Diceros bicornis minor: one gene and its partners. The main gene of each other region encodes a partner of the protein of the gene in region 2 in a complex. Links are inferred from orthologs where the notes say so. Each region holds a gene or a part of one and is shown on either strand. Other genes may lie near its edges. The genes, in order: KCTD5, CUL3 and KLHL42.

Region 1 (3,744 bases), on a different chromosome or scaffold from region 2:
GAGGCGGCCTACAGGGCAAGTGCCTTAAATCAGGGCAAGAGGCACTCCCAGAGCCTCTGAGGGGCGCAGGCTGCTGGCCCATGATTGCGAGGTTGTAAATCAGGCTGCCTGTGGAGAGTGGGTCTGGAGGGGAAGCCGGTCCAGCAAAGAGCAGTTTTATCTGTAGCTCAGACAGCCGTGGTGGGCAGCTGAATGAGCCTACGTGTATACCTGAATTTTCCCCATAACTCATTTCTTCAATATGAAGAAACACCAAACTTTGTGTACAGAGAACTTTTTACAAAGGCAAACCTTTTTTAGCTGTGTAATCCACCCTGGTCTAACGGTCTGGCTGAATGAATAGGGGTCATTTTGCTGGTGAAAAGCCTCTATCATGATCAGAAGTTTGATTGGACCTTGGCAAATTAAATTCTTGCAGTATTTAGAGCTGCTGCAGCTGTTCCTTAACACAAAATAGGATGAATCAATAAATAGTATGTTAGCTGTCTTTCAGGTTGGTGGCAGGCAGTGAGAACATGTGTAATATTCTCTACCTGGTCTGTAGCTGTAACTGTGATGTACAGGCAAAGCAAAAATTTTAAAAAACTTATGAAAACAAATAATGCAATGATATTAGGATATACACTTTTGTATTTTTATTCTTATATAAGGTTATTTGCTGGCTCTTGTTGGCCTCTAGTTCAGTCTGTGTTATTTAAAATCTAATATATGAATTATTTGGATTGAATTCATGTTCGGGGCCACGTTGTTGTATGTATTGATGTACAGCCTTGAATGTGAATAATTATTGTAAACTATATTTTACAACTTTTTTTCTGGCTTTATTATATAAATTTTCTATTTGGTCAATGATTTAATCATATCATAATTTAATGAATCTGTTTATTCTCTTTTTTTCAAATATTTGTGCTTTAGATGTAGTTACCGGATGATGAATTTTCCACGTATGCTCGGTAGTCTTGTAATAAAAAAGCATGTAGAGTGTAGACGCTCGCTGGTACCGCAGCTCTTCCTTTCGCCGGGGCTGCGGGGCGGGCGTGGTCGCGACTTGGGTTCTGGGCCGGGAACCGGCCGTCCGCGCGCCGCACGCGCGGGGCGGAGGCTGCCGAGCGCTTCTCCACTCGGTCGCCGGTCCCCGCGCTGCTCGCCCGCGTGGGCGCCCTGGGACCACGCCGTGGCCGGCCCGGGCCGGAAGGGGGCACGGCCGGCCGCTTTTCCGGACCGGAACTTCCGCCTCTTGCGTGACGCCGGCCGCGTGGGCGGGACAGAGCTCGAAGGACTATATTAAAGACCGGACGCTTCCGGTGGAGGGGAGCTGTGGCGGTGCTTGCTGGGATCATGGCGGAGAATCACTGCGAGCTGCTGCCGCCGGCCCCGGGCTGCTTCGGGGCGGGGCTGGGGGGCGGCCTGTGCCCCCGCTGCAGCGCGGGGCTCGGCGCGCTGGCCCAGCGGCCTGGCGGCGTGTCCAAGTGGGTCCGGCTGAATGTCGGCGGCACCTACTTCCTCACCACCCGTCAGACGCTGTGCCGGGACCCGAAATCCTTCCTGTACCGTCTGTGCCAGGCCGACCCCGACCTGGACTCGGACAAGGTGAGGGCCACGCGGGCCGGCCACGAGAGTCTGGGCCCTGCCCGCGCTGGGGAGACCGTCCCGCCACAGTTCGGCCCGAGCCCCCGACTCCCTGCCTGGGCCGGGGACGGAGGGGATGGCGCCCTGGCGCCCACTGCCTTCGGGGATCCCCGGCCACGCCACCTCGAGGCGTCTCTGTCTCGTCCTCTCTGCTCTGTGGCGGAGGAGGCTACCCAGACCCCGGACTTTTTTGTGAGTCTGCTTTCTTCTCCTCCCTCGACTCTTTGGCCCCTGGTGTGTGCACACCTTCTCCTCTCCGCGCCGGGGTACTTAGTGGTTCTGGAGTCGCGGAACCCTGGCGCTGTTCTCGTCTGTTCACATTCCGGGCGGTTGACTTACCGTTGGCGTGGGGGGGTTTCACGGGTGGCCTGCCTTTGCCAGTGACTTGCATTTAGAGAGTTGGCGCTCCACCGTCTTCAGCCACAACACTCAGCGCTCTCAGAGGGTGCCATCCATAGAATGATTGTTCAAAGGGAATGCTGCTCATATTAAGGGGTGGCTTAGGGGTGTCAAGGAAGGGCCAGGGGGGAAATCTTTTTCAGTCTGCTTTCTAATTAATTAGCCTAGTTTTCCGACTGCCCTGGCAAAAGGATAGGAATTTCTAGGTTAGTTTGCAGCTTGTCTTTCATCAAGTTTAATGTTCACACTGTTGTACGGGTGGTAATAGAAACTATTTTGGTGATTACCTTTACTTTACAAGACCTGTGTGACCGAGGAAGAGTATCTCAGGCACTGAACAGGATTGAAACTCAGGGAAGGCGTTGTTGGAAAAAGCTATTACTATATTTGTCTTGGGCAATTCACAAGTGTTATTCTAACTTGCCAGGGTCTTTCAGTTGAGCCTGCATAATTGCACTTGGCCTTGTGCCTTGCCACCCCAACATTTGCCAGACATAAGGCTTCCCAGAAAGATTCAGATCTCTCTTCAAGTTCGAGAACCCTGACGGAGACCATCCTCCCTGTGGCATGACCTTATGATCAGGAAATGAGAATTCTTGAGTTACCACAAAACCACCCATCATGGGTAGGAATCAGGGTTTGAGATGCCAGCGCTCTGGTCCCCTGGTGCCGCCGCCCACCCCCCTCAGCTATTTCCATTGCTCATTTGTCTGAGCTCTCCACTCTTAGAGGATTGACCTCCCAGAAAATGACAGTCTTCTCCAGGATAGAAATAGGCTTTTGTCAGTTGTGATTTTTCTTTTATAGTGTGGGTCTATGTTTTACTGTTTTGTTTTTCTTTTTAAACAGAGTCTTAGGGGTCATTCACTTGTATTTCTACTGAAGCGTTCCTGTTTTGTATATTGAGTCAGGTTTTAAATTGTTCTTGTCCGTTGGGTTGTTTGTTTTGAGGCAATGGCTGTCGATTCACCACTGAAACAATTAATACAGAGCCGATAAGCTGTAGCTTGCGCAGTTAAGTCGATTCATCCCTTTATTTTACTGTCTCAGGACTACTTAAAAAATTATGCTTTACTGTAATAGGAGTTCTTTGGGAGAGGGTAATTAATCTATCACAATATATTTATGTTGTAGTTTCTTTTTTTTATCAGCATCCACTTAAATATATTTGATTTCTGAATTGTAAAACTGAAATTTAGATACGGTTTCTGTCTCATAAAATAGTTGATAGTAAATAAGGGTTAATTTTAGTCACAGATAATGTGGATTTGCCAGAAAGAGTAATGCTAATTTGCATTAGTCATGGTAGCGTTTTACTTCAAATGAGAAAATGTAAAAGATACTCGGTCTTCTCAGTTTTTTCCCCCCTTGTTTCTGATAAAAGAATGTCCCAGTGGGGCCGGCCCAGTGGTGCAAGCGGTTAAGTGCGCGTGCTCTGCTGGGGCGGCCCGGGGTTCGCCGGTTCAGATCCCGGGCGCGCACCGACGCGCTGCTTGTCGAGCCGTGCTGTGTTGGCGTCCCATATAAAGTGGAGGAAGATGGGCACAGATGTTAGCTCAGGGCCAGTCTTCCTCAGCAAAAAAGAGGAGGATTGGCATCAGATGTTAGCTCAGGGCTGATCTTCCTCACGCACACAAAAAATGAATGTCCCAGAGATTCACTCCTAGATAGTTAAACCCTGAGTGAGGAGCCTGAGGGTGAGGCTGGAGATATTTG
Region 2 (3,744 bases):
AAGTATTAAAATTGGGGCCTGCCCCATGGCCTAGTGGTTAGGTTCCCCTCAGATCCCCAGGCCGGACCCACACCACTGGTCAGCCATGTTGTGGCAGCAAACCACACACAAAATAGAGGAAGATTGGCACAGATGTTAGCTCAGGGCAATCTTCCCCAAGGAAAAAGAAGACTGGCAACAGATGTTAGCTCATTGTGAATCTTCCTCAGCAAAAAAAAAAAAAAAAAAAAAGTATTAAAATAAATAATAGCTCTCAAATGTAGATACCCATCTTATTTAGAAGTTCACAAACTTAACTGGGAACTCACATATTCCTCTGCAGAGTCAGAAATCCAAATAGAGCAAAGAGGTAAATTAGGAAGTAAAATTCATAATAAATAGAAAGCAAAATGAATGAATCAAACTAGACCTTTTGACTACAATGACAGAAAAAAAATTCCCAAATTTTTAGCAAAGTGGAATCAAAGACAATTTTGGCTTTCAAAATCTATGGTACTCTTGGTAATAGTAAAAATGATTTGGCAGGTTAAAGATAGGTTTCTATCAGCCTATCTTCTATTTAACACCATTTACCAAAATATTGCACTACATAAAAGGCATTGTCATTTCATTTCAATGGTAACGAAAAACAGATTTTTAACACTAATAAGTCCTGGGTCCCTCAGAAAGTATCAACGAATCAAGAAGTCCTGAAGCGTCTGCAGTTTAAGGAAATTTTGTGGATTAACATCTCCACCCCTCAGTCCTAAAAGGTGGGGTGTGCACATCCAATCCGAATACCCGGCATACAGGACCCTAATTTCTGACACTGCAGGTAACTCCAGCACCAACTCTTCTCTCAACTTTCTGGCTTCTGCTCAAATACCCATCCCTAGTCCACATGCCCTAGAAAAACACAGGAACCAGTTCTGGATGGTTATCCATCTCGCACCCCACGCCCGCCCCGACACTACCCTCGCGACCCAGGCCAGCCGGACCCAGCCCACTACAGTCCCGCTCCGGCTCTCAGAACTTCCCCCGCCCACTCCATCCACGTGACCAAGACCCCCACCCCCGCCCCGCGCTCCACCAATCAGCAACCTCCTCCGCCCACAGCCGGTCTCCAGCGCTCCCCTTTCAAAAAGGCAGTTTACTCCGCCCGCCCTCGGCCCCGCCCCTTTCCCACCTCCCCGCCCCGCGGGTCCCTCCCACTTCCCCGGCTCCCGGTTCCCTCCCTCCCCTCCCGTTGTCCCCTCCCGCTCCCCGGCTTCGCCCCGCCCCGCCCGGGGCCGCGCGCTCGCCCTCTTCTCGCGAGATCGGAGCGTCCCCGCCGCGGCCGCCCGCCTCCCCTCCCGTCCTCCCACCCCCCCTTCCCCCAATCTCTCCACTCTACGGCTCTTCTCCCTCCCTCCTCCCCCCTCCACCCTCTGGGCCGGATCTCGTCTCGCTGAGGCGGAGGAGGAGAAGGAGGAGGAGGAGGACGTTCGGCCTGCGCAGTGAGATGTTTGTCCGTCGCCGCCGCCGCCGCCATCGCGGAGCAGCGCGATAAAGGGAGCCGAGCCGGGCGCGAGGGGGACGCCGCGGAGCCGCCGCGCCAGCGCAGCCCCCAGCCGAGCCCGCGCCGCCGGAGCCCGCGCCGCCGCCGCCCCCGCCGCGGCCGCCCAGGGCCGGCCAGCCGCCCAGCCCAGCCCGGGGGCCGCGCCGCCGCCGCCCCCCGCGTCGCCCCCCGCCCGCCCGCCCGCCTTAGATGTGACACCGGCGCCTCGGAGTGCGACCCGAAGCCGCCGCCGGGGAGGGGACGAGCACCATGTCGAATCTGAGCAAAGGCACGGGCAGCCGGAAGGACACCAAGATGCGGATCCGGGCCTTTCCGGTGAGTCCCCGCTCGGCGCCGGGGACCCCGGGGCCGGGGGCCCGGCCGAGAGCCGCACGCGAGGCCCGGGCTGAACTCCCCCAACAGGCCGCAGGCCCGGCCTCCCCTCCCCCACGCCGCCGGCCGCGGGGCGCGAGCCTCCCGGCAACGGGGCGCCGCGGGCCGGGCCTCCTGGGCCGTTCCCAGCGCCCCCGCCGCGGAGCGGCGCCGCCGGCCGGGCCCCCTCGCCGGTCCCGCGGCCCCGGGCGCCGGCCCGGTGCCGGGCGCCGGGTTCCGGGATCCCGGCCCTGCCGCGATGGGGACGGGCGAAGTCCTTGTGTGGGGCGCGTGTGTAACTTTTCACGTGTGGTTTCGCTGCGGGTGAGAAAAGAAGCCAGCCGAAGAGACGGCCAGCCAGACCTTTAGAATGATGGAGGGCACTGTCCTCTCCCTCTCCTCCCCCGTCGGGGAGGGTTGTGCCATCCGCCTACCCCCGGCGCGGTGACAGTGGTTCCACGTAGTGCTGTATAGTAATGTACCAGTAACATGGGTGTATTTATAGCATCTCTCATCCACAGGCTTCAGAGCACTTTACCAACTCTCATGGGCAGAAACTGCCTTGCCACTCAAGGGGAAGCCAGAGAGAACAAATTGGACAATTGGTTCTTTATTTCTTAGCCATGGAAGCCCAAAGAACGAGGAGTCACCATCCTGAGTTGCTTTACCGTCTAGGTTTTAGTGACAGCAGACGTTTTCTGTTTAGAAACTTTCTTTTTTAGCATTACGTTGACTCATATGCTTGTGGCGTTGAGTATATAGGGTATAACTTCGGGTGTCATATCTGAATCGAATAGCCAATGACAAGCATTAAAATGTGCTGTTGTAACAGAGAAACTAGGCGTATTTGCTCGTGTCGCTACAGTAACAGGCATACGTCAGGACAGACAAACCAGCAGTTGAACAGAAAATTTTAAAACAGCAAAGCTAGAGAAAGATCTTGGGTTTCCTTGCTTAAAATCATAAACATAAAGTGTGAGGGAGGAAGAGGCAGTTTGTACTCACTTTTTTAAGCGTGCTTTTTGTAAAGTGTAGTTTGCAGTGAGGAAAGACTTATTAGTGTAGTTATTCTAGTTGAGTAGGAAACCGACCCACTGAACTTGAGGACCTCTGTGAATTTTTAAAACTTAAAAGACCTGATGCAGACACCTGATGCAGAATTTTGAAATTGTGGTAGCGTAAATACTAATGTCGATGTGTAGAAACTTTTAGTTTTATGTAAGTAAAGCTAGGGTATACTCAGGAGAATTAAGTATTTTGATACTGATGAAAGGGATTTTGAATTTTTTTCTTAAGTAAATGTGAGAAACTACAAAGAAAATGAGAAATGTTGACAAAAGAGCACTAATGACGTTCACTAGCACGTTTTCCCTTAAAATGGAACAAAAGCTGGGTTTGTGAATTTTCGAGTAATGTTCGTTTTCCTACTAAATCAGTTCTGACCATTTTTAGCAGAATTTTAGTTGTATACAACAAATTTTCTAGGAAAAGCTTTCTACTCTTACAGTCTGAGTTCTAATTCAGATTTATTACTAAAATGTGGAATAGCTCACATTTGACATCAACTCACTTATGTCAATATTCTGATTAACCAGTTATACCTTTATCTATGTGTGATTAACCCTTTGATCTCTTTAGGTTTGCTTGTTCCTATCTGTTCTCCCATTCTTTCATTCATTCAACAAAGATGGAGTACTGTGTGCCAGGCGCTGTTGTGGGAGCTTGGGATATATCAGTATAGCTTGAAAGACCCAGATGCCTGCTTTCTGGATCTTACATTGCTGGGAGGAGGTGGTGGGAGAATATTCCTTTAGCTGAAGAGTGTAATATTATGTGATAGATTAGCACACAGTACT
Region 3 (3,744 bases), on a different chromosome or scaffold from region 2:
GAAAAGAAATCTGTGAGGTGTCGTGTTCCAGTCCTGGAGGTAGGGGTGGCGTGTTGAGCACCAATTGATACGGCTGGAGACGTGTGTAGAGGTGACAGACAACCTGCTGGGCCTTCACACCCAATCTGAGCACCACCCATAACTGCTGAACGTTCCTTTATTGCTTCAATTAAAGCTCCTAGAGTTTATTTAAAAATAACACTTCTGATATCAAAATTGAAATATGGCATCATCTCAACAGTGTAAATAATGCACTAAAAAGGGCCTGGAAGAAAATATGCCAACCTGTAGGTGGTTAATGCCTCTAGGAAGGAGGGAATAAGACTGATAGTCTTTCTGCTTCTTTTCCATTTTTTTCAGTTTTCTAGAATAACTATGTACTATTTTTAATCATCAAAAAAAAAAAGAACACTAGCGGCCGGCCTGGTGATGCAGCAGTTAAGTGCTCACGCTCTGCTTCCGAGGCCCAAGGGTTTGTTGGTTCGGATCCGGGGTGTGGATCCTGGGTGCTGCACCGACGCACCACTTGTCAGGCCATGCTGTGGCGGCGTCCCATATAAAGTGAAGGAAGATGGACACGGATGTTAGCCCAGGGCCAATCTTCCTCAGCAAAAAGAGGAGGATTGGCATCGAGTGGTAGCTCAGGGCTGGTCTTCCTCACACACAAACAAAAAAAGAACACTTTCCAAAATGATTTCATATTCTAGTAGAAATAAAGCCAGTGTTCCCCCCTGGCCTGGGGGGACCCTCAAGTCAAGTAAATAGTATGCATAATGGCCTTCCTGTTCCTGTGAAGACTGTCTTTGCCTGGTGGTGAGTGTCCCCACTCCTTGCTCCACACTCCAGGCCAGGGAGCATGGCGGGCCTGGAGACGGATACAGGTGGACCAGAAGAAGGGGTATTCTTGTCGTTTCTTGGGTGACAGTGATTCTTCTCTCCACTTGTGAATGGCTCTGGGCCGTCTTGGGCCCTACCGTCTTAACTTCCTACCACCTCCTCCTGCATCTGCTCTGTGCTCTCGTTCTCCCTTTCCTGGCTCCTTTCCCTACCCCACCCCACCCCCAATCTCCTTCTTTTCTCTCCCTTTCTTGAAGTCATGCAAGTTCATGTTAGGAGGAATTTGCAGGACGGGAAGGGAGAAGGTTAGGGTGGATGGAAATTTTCTAATTCTGTAAGTGATCACCGCCAGGCTCAAGCTTTGGGTCAATGACAATGACTGGCTCAGAAAGAAGAGAGATGCAAAATAGAGGATAAAACATAAGAAAGGCAATCCTATATAGCTAGTATTCATACAATTCTAACGACTATGTCCCGATGACAGATGGGTGACCCGGTGTGGAAGGCTTCAAAGCCATTAACAACAAAAAAATCCCCCAAAGTCAGTGTTACAGGTTACTGCCCAGTGTGTCATTATTATCAGGATCAGATCCTAAAAAATAAAAAAGGTGAAAATAAAAGCAAAATTAAAGAACAGTTTTAAGTATCCTTTTAGGAAACCACAACATCTTTTTTTCCACTGGGATAGAGGCAAAGAAAGTAGTTTGCCTGATGGCGAGATACCTGCAAGGCGCCTACTCAGCTAGTTGACCTCACTGGGGCCTCTTCTTCCTTGCAAGTTCTTAGTTCACTGGGAACTTTGCCAGAGTGGAGGCCAGCCACACTCCTGAAGACGTCATTCCCTCCTCAGCACAACCTCCTGCGATTGCTCAGTAAACATTAGGCGAACGAGTTAATGAACAAGTGAATGAATGAGAAAGAACCAGCGCTCTGCTGGGGGCTTACCTCTTCTGGTTCATGGAGGCCACCTGGAGCCACTCGTTGGTGCTGGGGTTGTAGGAATGCGCGGCGGCGATCTCCTGGCTAGTGATCCTGTACCCGCCCACTATGAAGAGGTAGTTGTCCAGGATGGCGGACCCGTAACCCCTGACATTCACCAGGTCGGGGGGAAGGTTGTTGGCCAGCGGGAACCAACGTTCAGTCATCTCCTCATACCTGAGCATGGACGGGGGCTCCCCCTGGTAGGGGTGAGGGGCCAAGGGTCCCCCCAAGAAATCCCCTAGGGCCACAAGGACAGGAGTCCCAGTCATCCGGGCCTCTCTCAGCCTCTGCTTCAGGCTGACATCCCCCGGAGCTTGGGGAGAAGCCCCCAGGAGGTGGAAGTGGGGCTTGCAGAGCACCTCGTGGAAGTGGACGACCATGAAGCGCAGGCAGGCCTCCTGCAGGTCGGGCAGCCCGTACACCTGCGCCAGGCGGTACATCTCCAGGCAGTTGGTGAGCCGCACCTGGGACAGCAGCAGCTGCAGCAGGGACGTGACCTGCAGGAAGGAGGCCGCTTCCACCAGCTCGGACAGCAGGCTCACCTCGTCCATCTCCTCCTCCTCCTCCACCCCGCCGCCCTTGTCCCCGCGCGGGCCCAGGAGCCAGCCTTCGCGGGCCCCGCCGGCGTTGATGAAGTCCAGCACCAGGCGCAGGCCCGGGGCGCTGAGGCCGCGCAGCTGCTGCACCTCGGGGCCGCCGGCCTCCTGGCTCAGGGCCTCGCGCATGCCGGAGCGGTAGAGCGCGCGGAAGTAGTCGCTCTGCTCGATGAGCTTCCTCTTGCTCACCGGGTAGCAGCGGTCCTCCAGGCGGATCTGCACCATCTCCTCGGCCGACATGGCTGGGGGGCCGCGGGCCGCGGGGCTGCCCGCCAGCTCTGCGCGCTCGCCTCCCCGCCCCCACGCGCTCGCCGGGTTCCGGGTTGGGCGCGCCGAGGGAGGGCGGCGGGAGGAGGAGGCAGGCGGAGGCCGCGGCTCGGGGCCGCGGCGGCGCCCCCGAGGCAGCCCCTCCTCCCGGGCCCGGGGGCGGCGGCCCTGCCCGGCTGCTCTCCCTCAGCGCCAAAAAAGGCCCGCCCGCGCGCCGGGCGTCGGGAGGCGGCCGCCGTCCCCGCTCGGGTTCTCGCGGGCCGCGTCAGCCGGGGAGGGGATCCCAGCCCCCGGCCTGCAGCCTCCTCCCCCGCCGCGCTTCCCGCTTCCGCCCGCGGGACCCCTGCCGCCCGCCGGACCCGCGCGCCGGCTCCCGCGCTCGGGGAGGCTGGGAGGCTGCCGGCCTCCGGCGCAGCGGCTCTGCAGCCTGGCGGGGTCTGCAGCGATGATCGCGGGGGACAGGAGGCGAGAGGAAGCCAGTCTGCTTTTTCTTCCACGCTGCCTTTTGCTGGGGGCGGGGGCAGCTGTGGGAGGATGAAGGGAGTCTGGGGTCCGGGGAGTCAAAAACACATCACATCTGGGATCGCCCATCTGGCCCAGTCGGGCTTCGTGTCCCAGGGGGCTGAGGCACACTGGCCGTCTCTGGACATGCAGGTGGCACCCAGAGGTGATTCTTCGGCATGGTCATTGTGTAGGAGCCATCTTGCAGAAAGAAGGTCCAGCCAGATGGCAGTAGGTTCTGCAGGGCTCAGCGCATGGGGTGCACCCGATGAGAAGAGTTGGGAAGCACAGGAGCTGGTATTTGCTGTTGGGGCCTGTTATCCTCTTTGTGCTATTAAAAGAAAGTCAGAAGGACAACTTGACTAAATAAAATTAGACCACGTGCCTTCTTTTCAAATATTTTCTAACAGCCATTGCTTTCCCTGTTTCAGTTTGGTTGGGCTAGCCATTACGGAATGTTATTTTGGGGCAGAAGGTCTGGCCGCTTTTGCTCATATTTGCCTACAGAGGTGGCTTTTCTTGCCACCCTCATCACCTTCCCCTGCCCCTACCCCCGCCGTCT

The links.
Region 1: the proteins of CUL3 (region 2) and KCTD5 are in contact, whole or in part, in a cryo-EM structure (PDB 8U83), measured with the Homo sapiens proteins. The link is inferred for Diceros bicornis minor from reciprocal best matches to the Homo sapiens genes CUL3 and KCTD5. Residues at the interface, in NP_003581.1 of Homo sapiens: Thr24, Met25, Asp26, Glu27, Lys28, Tyr29, Val30, Asn31, Ser32, Ile33, Trp34, Asp35, Leu36, Leu37, Asn39, Ala40, Glu43, Asn48, Ser50, Leu52, Ser53, Glu55, Glu56, Leu57, Arg59, Asn60, Ala61, Tyr62, Thr63, Met64; in NP_061865.1 of Homo sapiens: Trp45, Phe55, Leu56, Thr58, Thr61, Arg64, Asp65, Lys67, Ser68, Pro96, Thr97, Tyr98, Phe99, Gly100, Pro101, Leu103, Asn104, Tyr105, Leu106, Arg107, His108, Gly109, Lys110, Leu111, Val112, Ile113, Asn114, Lys115, Leu117, Val122.
Region 3: CUL3 (region 2) and KLHL42 share a complex: the UniProt entries of both Homo sapiens proteins name them as parts of the BCR(KLHL42) E3 ubiquitin ligase complex. The link is inferred for Diceros bicornis minor from reciprocal best matches to the Homo sapiens genes CUL3 and KLHL42.

The regions. Positions count from the first base shown.
Region 1 is NC_080765.1:45,803,991-45,807,734, reverse strand, and holds the start of KCTD5 (BTB/POZ domain-containing protein KCTD5), read left to right. Parts: upstream 1-1,323; 5' UTR 1,324-1,338; coding exon 1,339-1,590; intron 1,591-3,744. UniProt on the Homo sapiens protein: Its interaction with CUL3 suggests that it may act as a substrate adapter in some E3 ligase complex. Does not affect the function of Kv channel Kv2.1/KCNB1, Kv1.2/KCNA2, Kv4.2/KCND2 and Kv3.4/KCNC4.
Region 2 is NC_080776.1:14,113,183-14,116,926, reverse strand, and holds the start of CUL3 (cullin-3), read left to right. Parts: upstream 1-1,386; 5' UTR 1,387-1,786; coding exon 1,787-1,852; intron 1,853-3,744. UniProt on the Homo sapiens protein: Core component of multiple cullin-RING-based BCR (BTB-CUL3-RBX1) E3 ubiquitin-protein ligase complexes which mediate the ubiquitination and subsequent proteasomal degradation of target proteins.
Region 3 is NC_080756.1:35,317,441-35,321,184, forward strand, and holds the start of KLHL42 (kelch-like protein 42), read right to left. Parts: upstream 2,817-3,744; 5' UTR 2,655-2,816; coding exon 1,783-2,654; intron 1-1,782. UniProt on the Homo sapiens protein: Substrate-specific adapter of a BCR (BTB-CUL3-RBX1) E3 ubiquitin-protein ligase complex required for mitotic progression and cytokinesis. The BCR(KLHL42) E3 ubiquitin ligase complex mediates the ubiquitination and subsequent degradation of KATNA1.